2 linked regions of the Cricetulus griseus genome follow. The protein of the gene in region 1 purifies or fractionates together with the protein of each later gene. This does not show direct contact. Links are inferred from orthologs where the notes say so. Each region holds a gene or a part of one and is shown in the gene's direction. Other genes may lie near its edges. The genes, in order: Dapk1 and Ifi30.

Evidence for each region.
Region 2: the proteins of Dapk1 (region 1) and Ifi30 purify together in Homo sapiens (affinity purification with mass spectrometry; 3 studies listed by BioGRID and IntAct, counting the BioPlex papers as one, with this or other methods). This does not show direct contact. The link is inferred for Cricetulus griseus from reciprocal best matches to the Homo sapiens genes DAPK1 and IFI30.

What each region holds. Positions count from the first base shown.
Region 1 is NC_048596.1:279,916,588-279,927,335, forward strand, and holds the end of Dapk1 (death-associated protein kinase 1), read left to right. Parts: intron 1-255; coding exon 256-444; exon of another isoform or gene 445-682; intron 683-1,106; exon of another isoform or gene 1,107-1,171; intron 1,172-3,800; coding exon 3,801-5,029; intron 5,030-5,495; coding exon 5,496-5,535; 3' UTR 5,536-6,216; downstream 6,217-10,748. UniProt on the Homo sapiens protein: Calcium/calmodulin-dependent serine/threonine kinase involved in multiple cellular signaling pathways that trigger cell survival, apoptosis, and autophagy.
Region 2 is NW_023276806.1:248,241,468-248,253,199, forward strand, and holds Ifi30 (gamma-interferon-inducible lysosomal thiol reductase), read left to right. Parts: upstream 1-1,884; coding exon 1,885-1,950; intron 1,951-2,011; coding exon 2,012-2,236; intron 2,237-3,364; coding exon 3,365-3,547; intron 3,548-3,628; coding exon 3,629-3,703; intron 3,704-3,797; coding exon 3,798-3,890; intron 3,891-4,288; coding exon 4,289-4,441; intron 4,442-5,194; coding exon 5,195-5,248; intron 5,249-5,336; coding exon 5,337-5,402; 3' UTR 5,403-5,791; downstream 5,792-11,732. Other genes in the region: Mpv17l2 (mpv17-like protein 2), read left to right, coding at 7,540-7,726, 7,843-8,013, 8,523-8,599, 8,752-8,880, 8,964-9,002; Rab3a (ras-related protein Rab-3A), read right to left, coding at 9,930-10,120, 10,698-10,822, 11,387-11,505. UniProt on the Homo sapiens protein: Lysosomal thiol reductase that can reduce protein disulfide bonds. May facilitate the complete unfolding of proteins destined for lysosomal degradation. Plays an important role in antigen processing.

The sequences.
Region 1 (10,748 bases):
TGGCTGAGTCCATAGTTCCTAAAATATGATTGTAAGGACTTACCATCTCTTACACATACAGCTGCTGTCAAACCCCTCATGTTTGATTAGATTAAGCCTAAAGGCCGCACTAGGTTAGTAATGGACCCTGTTACTGAGCCGGGTAAGTGCGGATCTCTTCCTCTGGGTATGTGCAGCTTGGATAAATGATGTCTCTCTTGGCTCCTAGCACTTCATAGTCCTGTAGGGTCTAACCTGTCCCACCTGCCTGTCTAGGGCTGCCCTCCCATGACTCACCTGTGTGAAAAGATCATCTCGACACTGCCCTCCTGGCGGAAGCTCAACGGGCCAAACCAGCTGATGTCGCTGCAGCAGTTTGTGTATGATGTTCAGGACCAGCTGAACCCCCTGGCCTCTGAGGATGACCTCAGACGCATTGCACAGCAGCTGCACAGCACAGGCGAGGTGAGAGCTGAGGGTGGGTGAGCTCCAGCTGGTAGAGGAGAAGTGACCCTGCTACCTATAACATCTCATCACACGAGGCTCTCTTCGCCCCACGAAGTCACACAGAATTTCTGCTCTCTGCTTCTCCTTCACCTTACTGTTACCAGGGGTTGGAGTCTGGGCCTGGTTGTTTCTGGGTTTTGAGCCTCTTATGAGTTGAACTGAAGGCTTCTCCTGGTTTGCACAAACTGCAAGAATACTTTTTGCAAAGCAAAGCAAAAGTGCAGATCAGAAAGAAAGACACCAACCAGAGTGACAGCAAGTCACATAGGTGAGGCTGTTCAAGAGCCTGGGACTTCTTTATGAGGCCTAAAAGAGGGTAAGTTTGGTTATGAGGGGCAAAGTTTGAGAGGTTCTCTATTTTAATTGACAGGTTTAGGCTATATAAGCTTTTGCTTGATGTGAATGTGTTATGATAAATCTTTTTGCCAAAAGCCGCCTGAGCCCCACCGCCACGTGCAAGCTTTACACCAGCTGCCCGCCCGAGTTAGGCCCAAATGAATACACAGAGAGACTTGTATTAGTTACAAAGCTGCTTGGCCAATGATTAGGATTCTCATCTGTTAGCTCAGTCTCAATTACCATACATCTATATATTTTATGGGACTTATCTTATCGGGCACCTTATTGGCGTCCCTCCTTGCCGGTGAATCACATCGTGCCGCTGGAGCAGGAGCCGAGGGGAAACAGAGCGACACTTCCTTTTTCCTCTTCTTAAATATGAGTCTCTTTGCTATGTCACTTCCTGTCTGCAACACCACTTCTCTACTACATTTCCCAGAATCCTCTTTGACTCCTAGTCCAGCCTAACCTGCTGTCTCATTGGCCAAGCAAGTACTTTATTTATAAACATACACAGAAGTATTTCCCCCATCATGAATGTCCTTTCCCATGATGCATTATCGTAACATGATAAACAAGGGTTTTTTTTTTTTTCCTGAAAGTTTATTTATGGGGCATATTTATTTCCCTTATTGCACCTGCACCAAGACCAGTTCAGGCTGGATGTAGCTCTCCTGCTATTATTCATTGACATGACTAAAACTGAATAAAATCTGTTTGATGGTTGCTAAAAGGAGAAAGGTATTCCATTGTTGTGTGTGTGTGTGTGTGTGCGCGCACACATAGCTTCATGGAGATTGGGGTCCTAGGATGTTAACAGGCAGCTAGGTGTGTTGTTAGGCGTGTGATATGTGAGCTAGTACTTCAGGGAAGAGTCTCAGGACAGTGGTTATATTATTAGAAGCCAGGTGTGTGCAAAGGTCATATCCGGTGGAAGCAACCATTCACTATCAACAGCTGGTCTGTTGTCTTTGGTTTTTGTTGTCTTGTAGACCCCATTAGTTAGTCACTCTCACCCCGAGTAGCTGGGTCTCCATTGCCCCCTGAGGCACCCATGGCTTATTTCCCTGTTCTTCCTGGCAGCCATAGGCTGGCTGCGCTGAAGGAATTGAGAAGCTCTGGCTCTGGAAATAGTCCTGGGTTGACAAATACTGAGTAAAGCCCATGGGGTGTCCTCACAGACACTGTCTGTGGACAAGAAGACACTCTAGTGTGCAGTGTCCCCAAGTCAGGACCACACTTAAAGACCCCCTTAGCAAGCAACACCCACCAGAAAGGACAGAAATCACTCTTGATTGTGTCACTTAACCCAGTATGGGAACCGTTCTAACCGCATCCTGTATGCCTGTCCCCAGAGCATGGCATAGCCTTTACCTCCTCCCTCCTATGAAACTGAGTGGCCACATGGGCTAGGCTGGGCCAAGAGCAACAGTGGTGATTATTGACAATTAGAAGCATCTGAGAATATTGAAAACAGAGCTGGGTTTATTGGTTTTTGTGCCACATCAAGACTTGCATTTGTCTGAGTTGCGTACTTGTGAAACTAATACTGAATCTAGAGCTAGTGGCCCAGAAGGACCTCAATGGTAATGTCAGCCTTTGAACTCCCAGTAAACTGATGGCTGATTGGCTGGCTGACTAGCCGTACTATAAAGTGACCGAATGCAAGGAAGAAGACAGGAACAGGGCAAAGGCAAAGATATTTAGATATAAAAGGCGTTTTTTTTCCCATAAAAAGGAACTTTCTCCTTTGACAGGATTCTCTTACCTCCTACTATTTGACCAGAAACTTTCTAAGTCATGATGTAGGATCCCCTTAGTTTTCATATCACATCCCCTCTCCTTTTGAGCTTGAGACTTTAGGAAATGAAGACGGGGAGAAAGAGGGGAAGGAAAAGAAAACTCAGGGACGTGGGCTGGTTCTGTGCAGCTGTAGTCTTCTTAAGTGGTTATGAGCCATTAGCGCCTTAGCTTCCTCCTCCATGGTCAAGCTTTGCTTTTCTCAACCCTAAGGAAATAATAGTATGAAATGGTAACCGTCTGGGGGTCTTCTCAATGTCCTGCTGAAACGATGAAGGCAGAGAGAGCCCAAGCTACACTAGGGCAGAGGGGTCCCATGGCCAGCAGGTGGAGCTAGAGGCCTCTCCAATGAAAACCACCTGGAATAACTGCTATTCATAGACTTATCCTTAAAGGGCCCAAAAGGAAAAAGTGATTTCTGGCTTGGTTTTATTTTCTTCTCACATTTTTCTCTCCAGCTTTTGGGCTTTTAAAGAAATAGACACACTGGTCAATAACTAGTGTCATTCTTGACTCCTCTTTCAGTTGAAGGGTTGTCATAAGAACAAACATAAGAAACATATGTATGCCCTGTCTCAGACAAACCAATGACATTACCACAAAACCACATATTCTCAACTGACATTGACAGGTTCCTTCCATTATGGTTCCTTTGCCTCCTTTCTTTCACCTTTTTAAGATTTATTTTGTAGACATCACCATATTTCACCGTAAATCAGTGTCCCCAAAGACAAGGTTGTTCCCACACAAAACTCAGTAGAACACAAGATCACATTCCAGAAACACAACCCTGATTCAGGACAGTGGCTGAGTTTCCATTTGCCCTGATAATCTCTTTTGATGGCTGCCTTTATTGATTAGTGGGTCTTTCTAGACCCAGATTCCACAGAAGCCCATCTTTTCTCTTTCTTGTCTTCCTTCTTGTCTTGTGTATTGCTGTGGGTTGTTGTTGCTTTTGTCTCTGTCTTTATGTACTTTTGATTTTTACCTCCGCGGGAATTGCTTCTGAGAGACTCTCCTCTGATACTCTCCAGCCAGCTTAGGGCAGGGCTCGGGTTTGGTTTTGGAGATGGATCTTTGCCTCTGAGGGGATTCCCCACACAGCTCTGAGTGATAAGCGCCTCTGGCCTGGGTGTCCTTTCCCTCTGGTCACGTTGAGTTGTGGTCTCTGGCAGATCAACATCATGCAGAGTGAGACGGTTCAGGATGTACTGCTGCTGGACCCTCGATGGCTCTGCACCAATGTCCTGGGGAAGCTGCTGTCTGTGGAGACGCCGCGCGCCCTGCACCATTACCGGGGCCGCTACACCATGGAAGACATCCAACGCCTGGTCCCCGACAGTGACGTGGAGGAGCTGCTACAGATACTGGATGCCATGGACATCTGCGCCCGGGACCTGAGTAGCGGGACTATGGTGGATGTTCCGGCTCTGATCAAAACGGATAGCCTGCAGCGCTCCTGGGCGGACGAGGAGGATGAGTTGATGGTGTACGGTGGGGTGCGCATCGTCCCGGTGGAGCACCTCACTCCCTTCCCCTGCGGCATCTTTCACAAAGTCCAGGTTAACCTGTGCCGGTGGATCCACCAGCAGAGCGCCGAGGGTGACGCAGACATCCGTCTGTGGGTGAGCGGCTGCCGCATCACCAACCGCGGGGCGGAGTTGCTGGTGCTACTCGTCAACCATGGCCAGGGCATCGAGGTTCAGGTGCGTGGGCTGGAGACAGAGAAGATTAAGTGCTGCCTGCTGCTGGACTCGGTGTGCAGCACCATCGAGAATGTCATGGCTACCACCTTGCCTGGGCTGTTGACGGTGAAGCACTACCTGAGCCCCCAGCAGCTGCGGGAGCACCATGAACCGGTCATGGTCTACCAGCCCCGGGACTTCTTCCGTGCTCAGGCCCTGAAGGAGAGCTCCCTGACCAACACCATGGGAGGGTACAAGGAGAGCTTCAGCAGTATCACTTGCTTTGGGTGTCACGACGTCTACTCACAGGCCAGTCTCGGCATGGACATCCATGCGTCAGACCTGAGTCTACTGACGCGGAGGAAACTGAGTCGCCTCCTTGACCCACCGGATCCCATGGGGAAGGACTGGTGCCTTCTGGCCATGAACTTGGGCCTCCCAGACATGGTGGCCAAGCATAACACCAACACCAGGGCTCCTAGGGATGTCCTCCCCAGCCCTGTGCATGCCTTGTTGCAGGAATGGACCTCCTACCCCGAGAGTACCGTGGGCATCCTCATATCCAAACTTCGGGAGCTGGGGCGCCGAGATGCTGCGGACTTTTTACTGAAGGCCTCCTCCGTGTTCAAGATCAACCTTGATGGCAATGGCCAGGAGGCCTACGCCTCAAGCTGTAACAGTGGCACATCCTACAATTCCATTAGCTCAGTGGTATCCCGGTGAGGGCAGCCTTGGCTTGGGCAGGGTCTTTATGGACTGAGATGCAAGGGCAGTGGGGAGGGGACAACCCATCCTTTTCAGTGCAGATCCCCACTCATTCCTTCTGCTCCTGAAGACACCACCCTGCATCCTCTTCATTGCTTCCCAGCCTTTATTTCGCTCCCTCTCTCCCATCCCATGGTCAAGAGCAGACCATATCCCTTGCTTTGGCCACTTGGGAAGCTAGTGCCCCTCTGTCAGTGTTTTGGACTCTATCTCTCGTCCTCTTAATACCTTGCTTCTTACTGGTAATTTTATTGGGATTCCAAACTTTTCAATGAAAAAACATTTTTTTTAAAAAAGTCCCTTATTGATTATCCTTTAAAAAAAAAAAAAAGGAAAGGAACACACATTTATCCACAATGTGTATTTCTTACCCTTTCTCTGCCATACCAGCTCCTTAGCTTATCTCTTTTATATTTGTAGGCGAGACTCCCATGCTTGGACCTCACTGTATGATTTATAAACAGGCAATATGTGAGTGCCTTTTGCAGAAGAGGGTGTGTTGAAATCATCTGAGTCAGCCCGGAGCTGTCACCACGGAAACGCTACCTCTCTGTCCCTTGCTGTGTGCTGATCATCGCCAGAGGTGCTGCACTCTGAGTGGTTGGTTTGCCTTTGGTATTTTTTTCCCCTTTTTCTTTTTTTTCTTCCAGGGAGGGAGCTCTGTGTTTCATTTGGCAAGGAAAGAGGCAAAAGGAACCCTCTCCCCCAGAGTGTTCATGGGCCAGTGTTGCTGTACGAAGACATTTTTTCTTTAGTTGCTTTTGTCAAAACATCCATGTGAACATGTACATGAAACCTACAGACTGTCATGCCTCATCACTCCCTCCCACCTCAGGTAGAAGGTTGACACAGTGTAGGGTCATGGAGACCCACGTTAAGAATCCCGAAGACCCCCCAACTCATAATCCGTGGCAGTCCCTTGTCGGCGCATAGCGGATGGATTCTCCGTTTAGATCCTGGTTTGGTCACTTGCTGTACTTGAAAGAGAGAAAATAGAGTAAACAAGTTTTCTTGGGGTGATTGAGATTGTGATAACATTTTGAATCGATATGAGGGAACGTGTTTTAATTCTGTCCCGAGAAGCATGTAATGTTACCCTATCATCTGTACATATATATATGCACTATGTACATACATATATATTAATACTGGTATTTTTACTTAATCTATAAGATGTTGCAAAAGAATTAAGTTTGTTTTTTTTTTCTTCCGTTTTATAAATAAACTGTTCCGTATTGCTTTTGATTGGTTAGTCCTTGATTCAGAAGTTGTCGTCTTTGTGAAAGGTTCCAATCCCAGTGTTCTGCACCACAGTATCAACCAATCCAGAATCCAGATCATCTTTACACTAATCTCCAGCACTGGGAAAGCACTACCCTTTGTCTAGGTGCTTCTTTATTTATAAAATTAGATGACATGGTCCCCAGTCAAGAAGTAGGTCCTTGTCTTCAGTGAATCTGATAGAACCTGAAAGATGCCCTGAAAAGGATGTTATTGAGTAATTGTCACCCTTTTCAGTAGTTGACATCTGACATGTTCCCCAAAGGTCCCTCAAGGTTTGGGACTCCATTGTGGCAATATTGGAAGATAAACCAGAGCCATTAGGCTGTGCCTAACCACATGTTTAGGGTACACCCCTGTAATCCAACCAATTAAGGGGTGCAGGTAAGAGGATCAGAACTTCAAGGTCACCTTGGATACATCATGAGTTCCAGGCCCCTTGAGCTACATGAGATCCTTCCTCAAAACAGTCAGAGGAGGGGCTAGGGAGATATTTGAGTGAGTAAGAGAACTTGCCCTACAAGAATGAAGACCCACGTGGGAATCCCTAGCACCCTCATCAAAAGCTAACCCCAGCATTGGGGGTCAGAGACAGGTACCCTCAACATGTGCCTGTTATCATCTGCTTTCTTAGCACAAGTCCTAAGCACTAGAGCCAACCCATCATGAACCCAAATTTCTGGATCCCCAGAATAAGCCTTTACTCCGTATAAGTTAGGTATTTGTTATGGTAGCATAAAACTGACCGCCACACCTTCACAGGCAGTAGGGGTCCCTGGGAAACTCCTGGAATACCCCTAGTAAAGGACTTAGCCATTTCCCTCCATTTGCCCCAATGGTTGCTTGCTGGTGTCCCTGTGTTCCCCAGTTCTGAGTCAGTGGGGAGTGAGGCCATGCGTGGGTGTGGAGAGGTCAGGAGAGAAGCCATATAAGCACTTACAGTGCAGCTTGGGCCATGACCTCCCCTGCCCAAAGGCTAGTCACTCTCAAGTGTTGACACCAGGGTGAGGGGACTCTGCCAGGCACTTAGGGTTTCAGTGGCAAACCACAGCCTTCTCAGAAGGAGTACAGGGTGGGAACCCTGGAGCTATCTTTTTTTTGGGAGAGACCATCTTGTTCCATCGAAACCACAGAATTTACAAGTAAAGTCAACTTAGAGATGAAGTATTTCTGACACACTCTTCAGGGTCTGGAAGTCAAGTGGCACACTTGAGTCAGTCTTGGATTTGGCTTAGGTCAGGTCATCCTACCTTACATGGCTATGCCTCCTATTGATTCTTCATTTTTTTTTTCATGTTTTCCTTTTATTGAAAATAGACTCTTATTTAATATATCCTGATTATAGTTTCCCCTCCCTCTGTCCCCCCCAATTCCTCCTCCCCTCCCCTCCAATTCCACTCTCATTATAAGAGAACAGACTTCTAAGAGATAACAACCAAACGTGACAAAATAAAATATAATAGGATAAAGCAAAATCCATCCTACTGAAGTGGACAAGGCAATCCAACAGAAGGAAAAGAGTCCCAAGAGCAGACACAGAGTCAGAGACCCACTAGTTCTTACGCCCTAGTGTCCCAAAAGATACTAAGCTAAAAGCTACCTGGTACAGACCCGTGTTGGCCCGTGTTGGCTTCAGTCTCTGTGAACTCATATGTTCCTTGCTTGGTTGATGCAGAGAGCCTTGTTCTCCTGGTGTTCTCCATCCCCTCTGGCCCTTACACTCTTTCTGCCTCCTCTTCCATATGGAGTTCCTTGAACTCAGAGGGGAGGGATTTGGTGAATACATGCCATTTAGACTTTTTCTCCACATAATGTCTGGCTGTGGATCTCTGCATTATTTCCTGATGGCTGCCAGAGGAAGCTTCTCTGGTGATGACTGAATAAGGCATAATATATATATATATATATATATATATATATATATGTTGTTATGTTTATAGTATAGGTATAGCACAGTATAATAGTGTTTGTGTTCACCCTAGATCTCTGGACTATCTAGTCTGGCTCTTGGCTACCCAAACAGTGTCAGTTATCTTTCATCTCATGGAGTGGACCCTTAAGTCAAATCAGACATTGACTGGCTACTCCCACAAGTTCTGTGCCACCATTGCCCTAGAATATTTTGTAAGCAGGAAAAAATGTGGGTCAAAGGTTATGTGACTGAATTGGTATTTCTGTTTCTCCTTTGGTAGCCTTCAGAGCACCTTCCCTCACCAAAGACACAACATAGGGATGAAGGTCCCATGCAGGTACCAGCTCAACTTCTCCATGTTCGATGAATTGTGTGAATGTTGTCCTCAGCTATGGGGCCCACTCTCAGTTTATAGAGAGCAACCCATTGTCTTGGCAACAGCTTGGGTTTGGAGGATTTCCATGGGATCCCCCTGGCCAACAACACAATTGAATGCAACCAAATTCTGGTACTTGTTTAGTGACAAGAGATGGCCAGTTGGAACCTGTTTTCCCAATTATTAGGAGACCTCATTAGGATAATCTTAAAATATTTTAGGAAATTTCCAAAGCACTAGGTTTCCATATCATCCCTCTGATACCCCTTAATCCCAGCTGTCTCTCCCTGAATTCCCTAGTTTAGCCCTATCTCCCTCCCCAGCTGGTCTCACCTGCACCCAGTCCATCCCTAAAGTCTATTTTATTTTCATGTTGTTCCTTTAAATATGGTACTTGCACATACATTAGCATGTAAAATGTCACAAGTATAAACATGTACATGCATGTTAAGTGTGTCCATTTATAAGTTTGTATGTGCAAAGACATGCCTGTAAGTCATATGCCTATGCATGTAACCACCACCTGTGCATGCTAAGTTCTACATGTGTGTGGGAATGAGGGTGTATGTGTATGTCTATATGTACATGTGTTTGTGGTTGTATTTGAGCTCGTATATGTAGGAAAAGAATTCTCTGATCCTGAAGAGAGCCGCAGGGGAGCTGGTTCTGAGGCTCTGGCCCCAGCAAGAGCCCCAGGACATCTACTGAGCGCACCTCAGGTTTTGTCACAGCCAGTGTCAACCAGCAACATCCCTGCCTCCCATGAAAGGAGCAGCCCTGAAGCCCTGAGGCCTCTTCTCCAAATTTCATGATTTTTGTGATCAATACGCCCTCGGCAGAAGAAGGATGAGAGCCAGTCAGTGCAGCTGCAGCTGTGTGCCTGTCACTGCACCAGAGGCAGAGAGTGAGCCAGAGCTGGCCCTGCCTTAGGTGGGCAGGGGTGGGCCCTGTGGCTGTCAGGGCATCTCATGCAAAGAAAAGTTGCTGCTCTTTTCCCCCCTCAGCAGTTTTTTTTTTATATATATATATGTTTTTTATGTGATTTCAATACAGACTGCATGCTTTTCTTTCTTGCTGTTTTTAAACCTACTACTATGGCATAGGTAGTTTTCAATGGCATTAGAAGCTTTTTAGAAAAATTAGTTCTGTTGGCCACAGCATACCGTTATGTATCACACGGTCACTTACATGTCACCTGCTGTGGAACAGGAGGGCATTTCCTGCGGTTGTGAACACAGCTTCCACAAACATCTTTAGGTACACTTTTACTTTCGGTACTTGTTCTTTTGTGGCTCTGGAGATAAAAATCTAGGGCCCTATGCATCCCAATAAATGCTCACCTGCCCTACACCCTCAGCCCTTTAGCGTATTTTGAACTGCACATAAAATATCAGTATGTTGTTTTTATGTTTGTTTTGTTTCTGATGCATAATGATGAAGATCTAAAGAGAAGTATTTCTGCCAATCAAAACAAAAGTGTACTATACTCTGCTTCCCCAAGAAAAACCTTATTTTGTTAGTGCTTAACAGCTAACACTTTATAATTCTCTTTGTCTACCCCCCCTTTTTTTTTGCTATAATGGACTTTGTGATATTACAATCTTTAGCAAGTTTGGAAAGGAAATTCAGCATCCTCACTATCACCAAGATTCAAGTGAGTCAACTGTCATTGCTGTCGCATGAAGAGCCTCTGGCTTCAAGACCCATTTATTTAAAGAGCCACATGGAATTTTAGGACTTTTGTCAAATTTAGGGGACTACTAAAGTTTGGTTTTTTTTCTCATATATAAACTGTGGATTTGCTGACATTTCAATTTCTCTTGTCCAGTGTCAGTGACTTTATTTATGTTTGAGTATTTTATTTACATAACTTCTCCCCTCATTCTCCTCCCTTTAGTTTCTCCTGTACACCCATACCTCTCAAATTCATGGCCTCTTATTCTTTAACATGTATATGAGAGAGAGATGTGAATTTATAAATACAACCTGTTAAGTTGCTGCCATTTGGGACTGGATAACCTATCAGGGATCTCATCCCTGAAGAAGACGAATTTTCCCTCTCTCAGAAGCCATGAACTGCCTGGACCTCTTCATTTAGGGGTGG
Region 2 (11,732 bases), on another chromosome or scaffold:
ACCAGCCGCAGGGGGTTACCCCACAGCTGCTGAGTTCACCCCACCCCCACCCCCACCCCACCCCAGAAGGCACAATTAGAACTCCAGCCACCGCCTGGCCATGCCCAGGCCCTGCGCTGTTCTCCCGACTGTGCAATCTCCTCTCCTTTGGGACAAGGACCCTGGTGTCACTGCCCTTGGACCCCACACCTGCCCAGTACTGACGGGCAGCGGGTTTTGTACGGTACATTTATTGCGAATATGAAACATTGTACCTGTTGGCTGAGTGTCTTTGGGGACTGGGATTCTTTTTTTTTTTTTTTAAGATTTTATTTATTATGTATACAGTGTTCTGCTTACATGTATGCTTGCACACCAGAAGAGGGCACCAGATCTCATAACGGAGAGCTGTGAGCCATCATGTGGTTGCTGGGAATTGAACTCAGGACCTCTGGAAGAGCAGTCAGTGCTCTTAGTTCTGAGCCGTCTCTCCAGCCCGGGGACTGGGATTCTTGGCCCTCGTGAGCCACAGACTGTGGCCTGCCTGGGGTCACACTATAGGCACCTATCATTTTCATTACCACGCGTCCTTTTCTCCCTCAGCACCAGAGAGGTTAAGACCTCATCCAGGATCACAGAGCACAGTGCTGTAAGTCAGTCTCTGCCCCATACTCGGGACCCCAGATCCGAGTGCCACTGCTCCAGACTGCTGGGTCACCCACAAGTTTGACTCTGCTCAAGCAGGTGCCCGCTGCGCCTAAGCACGCCCACACGATCCACTTCCCTGTCGGGAAGAGAGGTGTCAACAACCTTTCAGGCCATCCAAGAGGGTGTCTCATGTCCCCGGTCTCCCTGAGTGATGAGGTGAGGCCATGTCGAGCCTGCACACCTGTTGAGCAAGTCCCTAAGGGCCTGCCTGTGCTCATTAGCGAAAACAAAGCCCTAATAGCTCTGCCCTGGGGTGGGTACACATCAAGACTTAACGCTCCGGAGTACTCTGCCCCAGCCTGTGTCCGATTGTCCAGAAGCACCTTTGGTCTCAGCGAGGACAAGTGAACGGACAGCCCGCCTGGGACCCAGTCCCATATGGGTGTTTGCCTCACAGTCCCAGAGATTCCCCCCCCCCCCACGCGCTTCTGCAGAGCCCTTCTCTAGAGAGCCCCGGTGAGGGGCTGCCCCTGCTCACACTGAGGTTCAAGAAGGCCCAGTCTTGGTTAGAGCCTGTGGCTGCTCATCAGCTGTGGAATTCAGGGAGTCGCCATTACCTCAGCAGTCTGCTGCCTCCTTCCTCACAGAAAACCAGGGTCTCCCCAGAACTGGACCGGACCCTGTCCTGAGTCTCCGGCTTCAGCCTGGGGCTTCAGTTACCAGCCAGGCTGGAACATTTCCTGCTGCCGCTGCTGTTCTGTGGCCTGTCACTGCCCCAAGGTCTCTGGCGTCCAGATTTCATCTTGACTTGGTGCAGAGGCTCCGGTCCCAACCTAGGTTACCTGTGAGCCCTTCTGGTGGCCCATTTACAGAATCTGGTGGAAAGAGGCAGAGTCCAGGCATAGCCCGCCCACCCTCCCCGCGAGGCTCTGCAGTGCCAGGGGTCTTGCCTGAAGGAAGTCCCCCCAGCTGCATCCCCCACCCCAAGTCAGGGCCCGGGACCTTAGGGAAGTTGGCCTGCCTGAGCTGGCTTCTGTCCTGGGTCCAGCCTGAATCAGCGGAGGTGGGGGGATGTGCTGGGGCTGATTTGGCCCGGCCTGGGGTGGCGGGGCAGGAATTAATGACAAGGGTGTCACTCCCCCATCTCTGCTAAGGTAGAGGGAAGAAGGCAAGTACTCTGCCTCCTGTCCCTCAGCCGGTCCGTGTCTGGAGACCCCCGCCCCCCCCCCCCCGCCCCATCCCTGATCCAAAAGCCTCATGTGGTGTGACAGGACATGCTGGCCCCAGGAGGAGGGAACACTGGAGGGAGGGCCCTGTGGCCTCGTGATTTGGGGTGCAACACCTGGCTGGGGTAGAGCCTGCTGGAAAGGAGGCCCTGGGGTAGGAGCCCGGGAGGGGCGTGGTCTCAGGGGGCGGGGCCTCCGCCTGCTTAAAGTCTCCCACCTCCAAGGCCCAGCCAGCAGTCGTGCCTACCTTTTCCTCCGCGGCCATGCCCCGGTCTCTGTTCCTGCCATTGCTGCCCCTTCTGCTGCTGCTTCTACCCGAGGCCCCCAGAGCAGCCAGAGTGTCTCCGCTGCAAGCGTCCTCCGAGGCTGCGGCCACCTGCAAGGTAGGGACCGCGACGTGCGGGAGGGGACGGAGGGTCAGGCGACTTCTCCGCACTCGGCAAACTCACCCGGGGAACCCCAAGGAACGCTGTCAGCCAGGGACATTCCCCAACCCCCATCTGGGGACTGGCCGCGGCCAAGCCTTTTCGCTTCCCCATCGCAGGTCTGAGACACACAGCTATCCCCTTCCACCTCGCCTGAGCATTTATTAACCACCTACAGTATACATCTGAGCCAAGAGTTGAGGGTAGGCGGGAGGGGGCGGTTTCTGCTCCAGACCTGTTGAGCCACTGGCCCGTCTCCACCCTCACGCAATTCTTGCTGCTTACTATGTGCGTTCCAGCCGAGGACGGGAGGGCTGGCGTGCTCCTGACACGGAGCAAACACATGCCCCGCACGCCGAGCACCTTGATCAAACTCCGGCTCGCCTCCCGACCTCCCCGGAACCGGAAGTCTGCACGCACTAGGCACCTCCTGTGTCTAGTCGGGCCTCGAACAGGGTGAAGTTTCCCTGGGTCACTGGAGAGGAAGAGTAGTTTCCATGGGTGAAAGGCCTCGTTTCAGCTCTGGTGCGCAAAATTACAAAAAGAAAAAAAAAATGAGCATGCATTTGACTTCAGGGTGTGCGTTGCCAAACAGGGCTGAGAACAGTAACTACAATTATGCATGTCTTATTTTTCATTTACTTTCTTATTCTTATTTTGTGGTTGTTTTGATTTTGTTTTTTGGCGAGCCAGGGTTTCACAGTGTAGCCCTGGCTGTCCTGGAACTCATTCTGTAAAACCAGGCTGGCCTCAAACTCCTGCGTCTGCCTCCCTGGTGCTGTGAGTCATGAGCCACCGTGTACAGCTAGAAATATGCATGTTTTAGCGCTTACTGAACTAGCCAGGATTGTGCACTTGCTGAGGACCTACTGTTTGCAAGCCAGCCAGTTTCCGTTTTGCAGATAAACTGTGATTGCGGAATGCGAGGTAGACTCCAGCAAGCCTCTGGGGGCCCTGGGCGTGGCCCAGCGGGAGACCGCACGCTGTCTGGTCCCCACTGGCCCTAGACTGAGCCACCATGAGCGTCTCGGCGGGGGGCGCCGGGGCCCGGGGTCTGCACCTCACCGGACGCCTCTCTCCCTCCAGGCCCACGATCTGTGCCTGCTCGGGCCGCGCCCGTTGCCCCCTGCACCGCCGGTCAATGTCAGCCTCTATTATGAATCCCTTTGCGGAGCTTGTCGATACTTCCTGGTCCGAGATCTGTTCCCGACCTGGTTGATGGTTATGGAAATTATCAACGTCACGCTGGTACCCTACGGGAACGCGCAGGTGCGCAGGAAACGGGGAAACCGAGGCAGAAGGGGCGTGGGGGGACGGGGACAGGGACGCTCATCCTTCGGCGCCTTGCAGGAAAGAAATGTCAGTGGCACCTGGGAGTTCACGTGTCAGCATGGGGAGCTGGAGTGCAGGCTGAACAAGGTGGAGGTGAGCTGCAGCTCAGTGCGGTGGAGGGAGCGGGGAGGGGGGTCCGGACACTGAGTACTGCAGTGTGCCCACCGCTGCCGTCTCTCTCTGCAAGGCCTGTCTGCTGGATAAGCTGGAAAAGGAGGCGGCCTTGCTGACCATCGTCTGTGTGGAAGAGATGCAGGACATGGAGAAGAAACTAGGGCCGGTGAGCTGCAGGGCTGGGAGGCCAGCCACGGGGCTGGGGGGAGGCAGGGAGGTGACTGCCCTCCTGGGGCTCCCACCTCTCGCTTGGAAACCTTAGGACTGTGAGCAGACATGGGACAGACAGTATGACAGGAGACAAGCCAGGGGCTCTTACTTCCCAGGGTATTGTGGGAAATAACTCCACCCCATCCTCCTGGAGGGTGAGACCCTGGGAAGGAGTAGGAAGGCTCCGAGGTAATGAGATACCAGCGAGGCACGCGCACCCTGGGCCTCAGCATCAGAAGCCCCACCCATCAACCCGCTCTGGGCGATGAGGAAATGGCTTGTCCAGGGCCCTTCGGACTGTTGGCGAGATAACAAGGGGAACTGAACAAAGCCGCACATCCCCCTCCCCCCCAGTGCCTGCAGGTATATGCTCCAGAGGTGTCCCCAGACAGCATCATGGAGTGTGCCACGGGGGAGCGTGGCACGCAGCTCATGCACGCCAACGCCCAGCTCACCGAGGCCCTGCAGCCGCCCCATGAGTATGTGCCCTGGGTCCTGGTCAATGAGGTAAGGACCTCCATTGTGCAGTTAGTAAAGTGTCCTACGAGCTCAAGGCTCTGAGTTCGAATCCCCATGCCGGTGTGAAAAAGTTGACTGTGGTGGCCTGTGCATGTAATCGTGACTGGAAGACGCCACATGAGGGGCTTGGAGAGCCAGCTCAGGGGTTCAGAGTGCCGCTGCTCTTGCAGAGGACCCTGGTTTATTACCATAGGCACCACACAGTGGCTCATATCTGTACCTCCAGTCCCAGGGAGATCCAGCGCCCTCTTCTGGCCTCCGTTGGTACTGCACAAACATGGTGCCCAGACGTGGGGGCAAAACACCTCTACACATGAAATAAGACAAATAACCCTAAAAACAATAGTTTTGTTGTTGTTTTCTCTGTGTAACAGCCCTAGCTGTCCTGGAACTATCTCTAGATGAGACTGGCCTCCAGTTCACAGAGATCCACCTGCCTCTGCCTCCCGAGTTAAAGGCGTGCGCCACCACCCAGCTTAAGATAATTTAATTAGAAAAAAAAAGACTACAAAAACCAAAAAAGAAAAAATAAGACAAAAAAATTAAAAAACGACACCCATATTGAACATTGAGCTCTGGCCTCTGCTCACACAAGTTTTTATGCCCTAACACTGCAGTGACAAATCAGCTGAGATTGCCCTGGAACTATCAGTGGTCCTCCTGCCTCAGCACTCCAGTACTGTACTCCCAAGCTCATGGGTCTTCCCACCTGTGTTTAACTATGTCTTTTGTGGCTTGCAGAAACCTCTGAAGGACCCCAGCCAGCTCCTGAGCACTGTCTGTCAGCTGTACCAGGTGAGCTGGGCACCAACGGGGGTTGGAGGTTGGGGGGAGTGGAGTCTCCCAGAAGGGTACCAACTTCCAAGCCTTTCACCCCCTCCAGGGAGTGGAGAAACCAGACATCTGTTCCTCCATGGCAGACCCCCCCAGGAAGGTTTGCTATAAGTGAAGGTCACTGTCACAAGAAAAACAAGAGCCCAGGTGCTCAGCCTTTTCAAATCCGGAGCCCTAAAGAGATACCGCCCATCAACAAGCAAACTTGTACACATCCCACAAAACATACTCGAAACTCCTCCACATGCCGGTCGGTGGTGGCTCATACCTTTAATCCCAGCACTTGGGAGGCAGAGGCAGGCGCATCTCTGTGAGTTCCAGACCAGCCTGGTGTATAAGAGCGAGTTCCAGGACATCCTCCAAAGCTACACAGAGAAACCCTGTTTTGAAAACAAAAACAAAAAAAATACTCCTCTACGTGTTCAAGAATCTTGCCTTGCTTTCAAATGGTGCTAAATTTAAATTGTTTGAATAAATAAGTTGCTGTGATTCATTTTTCCTGGAGTTTTAGTTTGTGAGGTTTCGTTTGTTTGGCTGGTTGGTTTTTGGTTTGGGTTGTGGGTTTTTTGTTTGTTGAAACAGGGTTTATTTGTGTAACAGCTCTAGTTGTCCTGGCACTCGCTCTGTAAACCAGGCTGGTCTCGAACTCACAGAGGTCCTCCTGCCTCTGCCTCCCGAGTGCTGGGATTAAAGGTGTGTGCAGCCGCCGCCGCCGCCACCACTTTGTATTTTTCGTTTGTTTTGCTGGTTTTTCAAGCTGGAACTCAATCAGCAGACCAGGCTGGCCTCGAACTCACAGAAATCTGCCTGTCCTTGCTTTCCAGGCATTGGGATCAAAGGCGTGCCACCACCTACCGGCATGTTTATGTTTTGAATGTGGGTGTATAACCCTGGACTCCACTGGTGCTCAGCACACAGTCTGTCCCTGAGCTGTGCCCCGGGGACCCTGGAGTTCATGCCTCATCTGAAAAGCCCCCAAATGCGAGTTACTTTTTCATTTGTCATGTGACAAAATACAAAAGCCACTTAAGGAAGGGACTGTGCTGGGTCATCCTGTGTAGTCCATCCTGGGGCAAAGTTGGGGCCAGGCAGCACCCACAGTCAGGAAACAGGTCTGTGGATGCTGGGGCTCTGCCCACTTTCCTTTCTAGTTCTTCCAGAACACCAGCGCAGGGGGTCATGCCACCCACATTAATTACCAGTTACAGCCCAGTGGTTCTCACACTGGGTCATGACCCCTTAGACTCAAATATGAGAGACACATTACTATCATAACAGTAGTAAAATCAGTTAAGAAGTATCAATGAAATAAGTTTATGGTTGGGAGTCACCTCAACAGGAAGGACTGTATTACAGGGTCGGAAGGCAGAGAACCGCTGCTCTAGACCGTGACTGTAGATCCTGTGTGGGTGGCGGAATTGAAGTGACACGGTCCTTGGATGCTGGCAATCCCCTACCCGGGAACGCAGAGCCAAACCTGTCCTTCCTTCCACGGAGCCCGGATGGACCCGGTGGGTAGGGGGTGAGGCTGGGAGGATGGAGCAGGGGAAGGGGCCAGCGTCCGGGAGCTAGAAGCCCAGGCTGAGCACCCGAAAACTGCACGGTGGTGGTCACAGTGACAAGCGGAGGGGCAATGAAGGCGGTAAGGACACAGGAACTCATGACTGCTCATCAGTCCACAGCCCCGGCACGGCGGTGGGACACGAGCTCAGGGCCGTCCCGGGCTACGTGACGCCCGGCGCCCGCGTGCTGCACCGGCGTCTTCAGACCACAGTGCGGGCGCACGGGAGAGGTCACGCCAAGGGCGAGCTCCGCAGCCCTGCGCACACCCCCTCGCCCCGCCCACTCCCGGAGGCTTTGTGGATAAGAAGCGAGAGACTTCCGTCCGGCCCCGCCCCTGCGCAGCGGGACACACAAGACCCACGATTGGTCAATTCGGCTCAGGGGGCGGGACGCTGCGGGTAGCTAGCGAGACCCCGCTCTGCCATTGGCCAGTGCAGGTCCGCTTGTCTATCGGTCCGCTGAGAACTGGTAAAGCCTAGGCGGACTTCCGCGTTTCCGTGATGGAGTGGTAGGCGATTGGCTGTTGCCTCCGAGAGGCGGGATTTGGGGGTTTCTGATTGGTGCGTGTGGAGAGGGGCGGTTCTGCAGCGCAGCATATTAGTGGTCGGCGCCGAGGCGAGTGATTGGCGGGCGCGGGGGGCGGGGCCGGGGCGAGAGCGGCGGAGGCTCGGGCGTGCGCGCGGGCGGCGATGGCTTCGGGCGGCTGGCGCTGGGCTCGGAAGGCGCTGGCTGCGGGGCGACCGCTGTTCCGGGGCCGCGCGCTGCTCGTCACCAACACCCTGGGCTGCGGCACGCTCATGGCTGCGGGCGACGGCGCGCGTCAGGCCTGGGAGGTGCGCGCGCGACCGGGACAGAGCTTCAGCGCGCGGCGCTCAGGTGAGCGGGGCCGGGAGGACCGGGCGTGGCGACCCGCCGGCCACCGGGAGGACACGCCGAGTCCCCAGGGGTCCTGGCCCGCAGCCAGCAGGGTGCACCCTGATTCTCGCCCGCAGCCTGCATGTTTGCGGTGGGCTGCAGCATGGGCCCCTTCCTGCACTTCTGGTACCTGTGGTTGGACCGCCTCCTCCCTGCCTCGGGCCTCCGAAGCCTTCCGAGCGTGATCAAGAAGGTTCTGGTGGATCAGATGGTGGCCTCGCCCATCCTGGGCGTCTGGTACTTCCTGGGTAGGAAGCGGTGGGGACTGTGGCCTTCAGAGCTCGCGATGGGTAGACACTGGAGATTCTCATCTGCGATTGTAGGCTGGGTGGCGTTGACAATTAGAGGGACCTGTTACACAGGGATGGTCTCACTTTGTAGCTCTGGCTGGCCTCAGACTCGACAACCCCGCCTCGGCTTCTCGAGGCTAAGTTCACAACCATATTGCATTTTTATATATAGACTCGGGGAAGCAAGAGGGCTGGGGAGAGGCAGAGTGGCAAGGGTGCAAAGCTGCAGTCAGTTGAGCCTGCAGGAAAATGAACCCTGAGGGTGCGGTGAGGACTGCATTGATGGATGAGATGATGATCCCTGGTGTCCTGGGATGACCTGCTCAAGTAACTCCGGTCATTGCCCCTGACCCTCCCTGGTGCTCCTCCTGGGTCACTTTACTGACCCATACAGCCCACTCCCCACACACAGCCCTGCCAATTTTATTGCCTCGCAACCACCTCAGCCTTTATGTTCTTCTTCCCAGGCCTTGGCAGCCTGGAAGGCCAGACGCTGGAGGAGAGCTGCCAGGAGCTGCGGGCCAAATTCTGGGACTTCTACAAGGTGGGCGTGACCAGGCTGGCCTTCTAAACGTGGCTCCACCCCTACTCAACCTCCCAGACCCCCCTTCAACACTTTGGCCCCACCCACCCTCCTAGCCCTGCCCCCTCATAACCACCTGCCCTCTTAAGGTGGCCCTGCCTGCCTTCCTGCAGGCTGACTGGTGCGTTTGGCCAGCCGCTCAGCTGGTGAACTTCCTCTTCATCCCTTCCCATTTCCGAGTCACTTATATCAACGGGCTGACACTGGGCTGGGACACGTATCTGTCCTACCTGAAGTACTGGGTGAGCTCAACCCCTGGGAGAGAGGGGCTCCATGGTGCGGGCTGGCCCTGTGTCTGGTGTGACCTGTCCTCTGCTGTACACAGGCCCCTGAACCCCTTCCAACTCCGGGCTGCGTGGACTGAACTTGAATGCTGCGGAGGAGTAGGCCAATGGACACACTCCCATAGGAGGTTCTGGAACAGGTCAGAGCTCTGAGCCACATCCAAAACCCAGGCTGACTAAGTCTGGACCAGCTATCCCTTCGGAGTCTGCCATGGAGACAGTTTGCCCATGTGAAACAGCCCCAGCACCAGCTGTCGCCAGGTTTTTCAGTCGGACCAAGAAGTCCTCTGTCAATCTGCAGTTTCAACTCTGGGCCAAACAGTACCCGAGGTCCCCTGGATCCCAGGTGACAGAGGCAAGGACATGCCCCGTGGCCTTTGAATGGGGTCTGGTTTGGCTTCAAAAAACTTCATTCGAAGTTGGGCAGCCATGTGGAAATTTCATTAAATTTTCTTTAATCACAAGGCTGGCTGACGGTGTAGGGGCGGGGCCAGCAGAGACGCAGCAAGGTCCATTCGCTTTATTGAACTGTGTAGTGTTCATAACTTCTAGGAAGTGGGGGGTCACGTTTGACACTCATGACGTCAAAACAGGTTTGGGGATATCCCAAAGTAGTGAAAGTGACTATATCCCCCATCCCATGGGGTAGAAGGTCCAGGCAAGCAAGATGCCAGCCTGTATCAACCCAGTGGCCCACATGACAATCCACCAGCCTTGGCCCTGGCAGGACTTGCCACCTCCCATCAGCCTGCCAGCCTGCTTCCAAGTGATATCTGGTCCCCTCTTTACAACGACAGCTGGATGGGGTGGTTTTCAAAACTAAAAGGGAGAGGTCTTAAGCAGTGAGCACAACACACCACAGCTGAGCAGGGGTAGGGTTATGTACAGGGTGGGATGGGGTGTGTCCAGGGAAGTCCTCAATAAATAAATAAATAAATAAATAAATAAATAGCTACAATAATAAATAGGGTGATGGGATGGGGGCTTGCCCCTGGTGGGGGTGTGGCTCAGCAGGCACAATCCTGGTGAGGAGGTGCCTGTTGGTCGGTGAGCTGTGGGCCCTGCTTGGCGCCTGTGACCGCAGGGTCAGCGGTATCCAGCGACTCCGACATCTTCTCACAGATCACATCCACCAGGCGTTCAAAGGTCTGCTTGACATTAATGTTGTCCTTGGCGCTGGCCTCAAAAAACTCAAACCCTGTGTTGGGGAATGGAGGGATCCCAGGGAGGCCATATGAGGGTGAGTCTCCCATGAACACCCAACCAGGCCCCATACAGTCCCAGTCCAGAAGCCTCCACACTCAGACCTGTCTTGGCTTCAACATCCATGGCCCTATCTCTTGGTATCTCAGAACACAGTGAGACACATTTCCTCTAGGGGGCAGTCACACTCCACGGTCACAACTGCATAGGTTTGGCTGTCCCTTGGTCTGTACCTTGAGAACTTTGTACCACCCTTCCCACCCCAGCAAGTTTTGCCTGCTCCAGGAAGCATGGCTGGGCTCCCAGCATGCACTCCTCTACGCAGGTTTCTCTTTCCAGTCTGAAAACTTAGATTGTTGTCAGGCCCAGCAGCTTCTGGAAGCCAGTCCATGACTGAGCTAGCAAACTCTGTGACCAAGACCCACTGCTGAAGCTTCCTGGAGAGTGTCTGGTCTTTACAAGTATGAACCCTCTGCATTCACGCTCGTGCCCTGATGTGTGGGGTTTCTGGGTATTGAAGGTCATGGCCCCTGGTCCCGTCTGAGGAGGGCTGCAGTCCTGCGGACACTCACCCAGGTGGTCAGCAAGCTGCCGGCCACGCTCCGACGACACCACTCGCTCGTCCTCCATGTCACACTTGTTCCCCACCAGCAGCACCTGGGCATTGTCCCACGAGTAAGTTTTAATCTGAGTCGACCTGCAGGAGGCAGCCAGAGGCTGAGGAGGAAGTTGGAGGATCCAGCCCTGACACTAAGTCCCCTGCCCCTTAGTAACTGATGTGCTTTCCTCATGAGCTCAGGTTGTCCTGGACCTCTCTACCCTGCCTCAGCTTCCCCAATGCTGGGATGACATCTGATGCTCTATCTACTATGCTAAATGCAGAGACGTGACAGAGCTGGTTTATGATGCTGTGGGTGGAATCTAGGTTCTCACACATGCTAGGCAACTGCTCAGTCAGGGACAAGTGCCTCTGCTTCCCAAGTAGCTGGGACTACAGACCTGACCTCCCATTTCCTGGGAGGACAGATCATTTAAATGCAACAGATCAGTGGGAGCCTTTGTCTAGCTTATTGGTCAAGCTGTGTTCCTTCCACAACCCCAAGCCTTAGAAACAGCCCATGTAGTTTGTCCCAACCAACTCTGTTCTTTGTCTTCTGGACATGCTGGGGACAGAACTCGAGGCTACCCAAGCCAGGCAGGTAGCTGAGCCACTGCTCCAGCTGCCTCCAGTCCCACCGTTCTGAGTGGGTGTGAGGCTCACCAGTCCTGCACAGCGTTGAAGGACTCCTCGTTGGTGATGTCATACATTAAGATGAAGCCCATGGCACCCCGGTAATAGGCGGTGGTGATGGTGCGGTAGCGCTCTTGCCCTGCTGTGTCCTGGGGAAAGAAGAGATGGTGGTCAGGAGAGACTGCACAGCAGCCGTTCTGAAGGGAAGTGTGTTTGGAGGTTGGTCAGGCAGCCCCTTTGAGGTCCAGAGACAGTGGATCAGGAAAAGGGGGCTGGGTGGCCTTTGTGCCCAGATGGGTCACAGCAAAATCACTCATTCATTTAACAAATACAAACTGGGTACTGCCCAAATGTCCTGTGCCACAGCCTGTGCCAG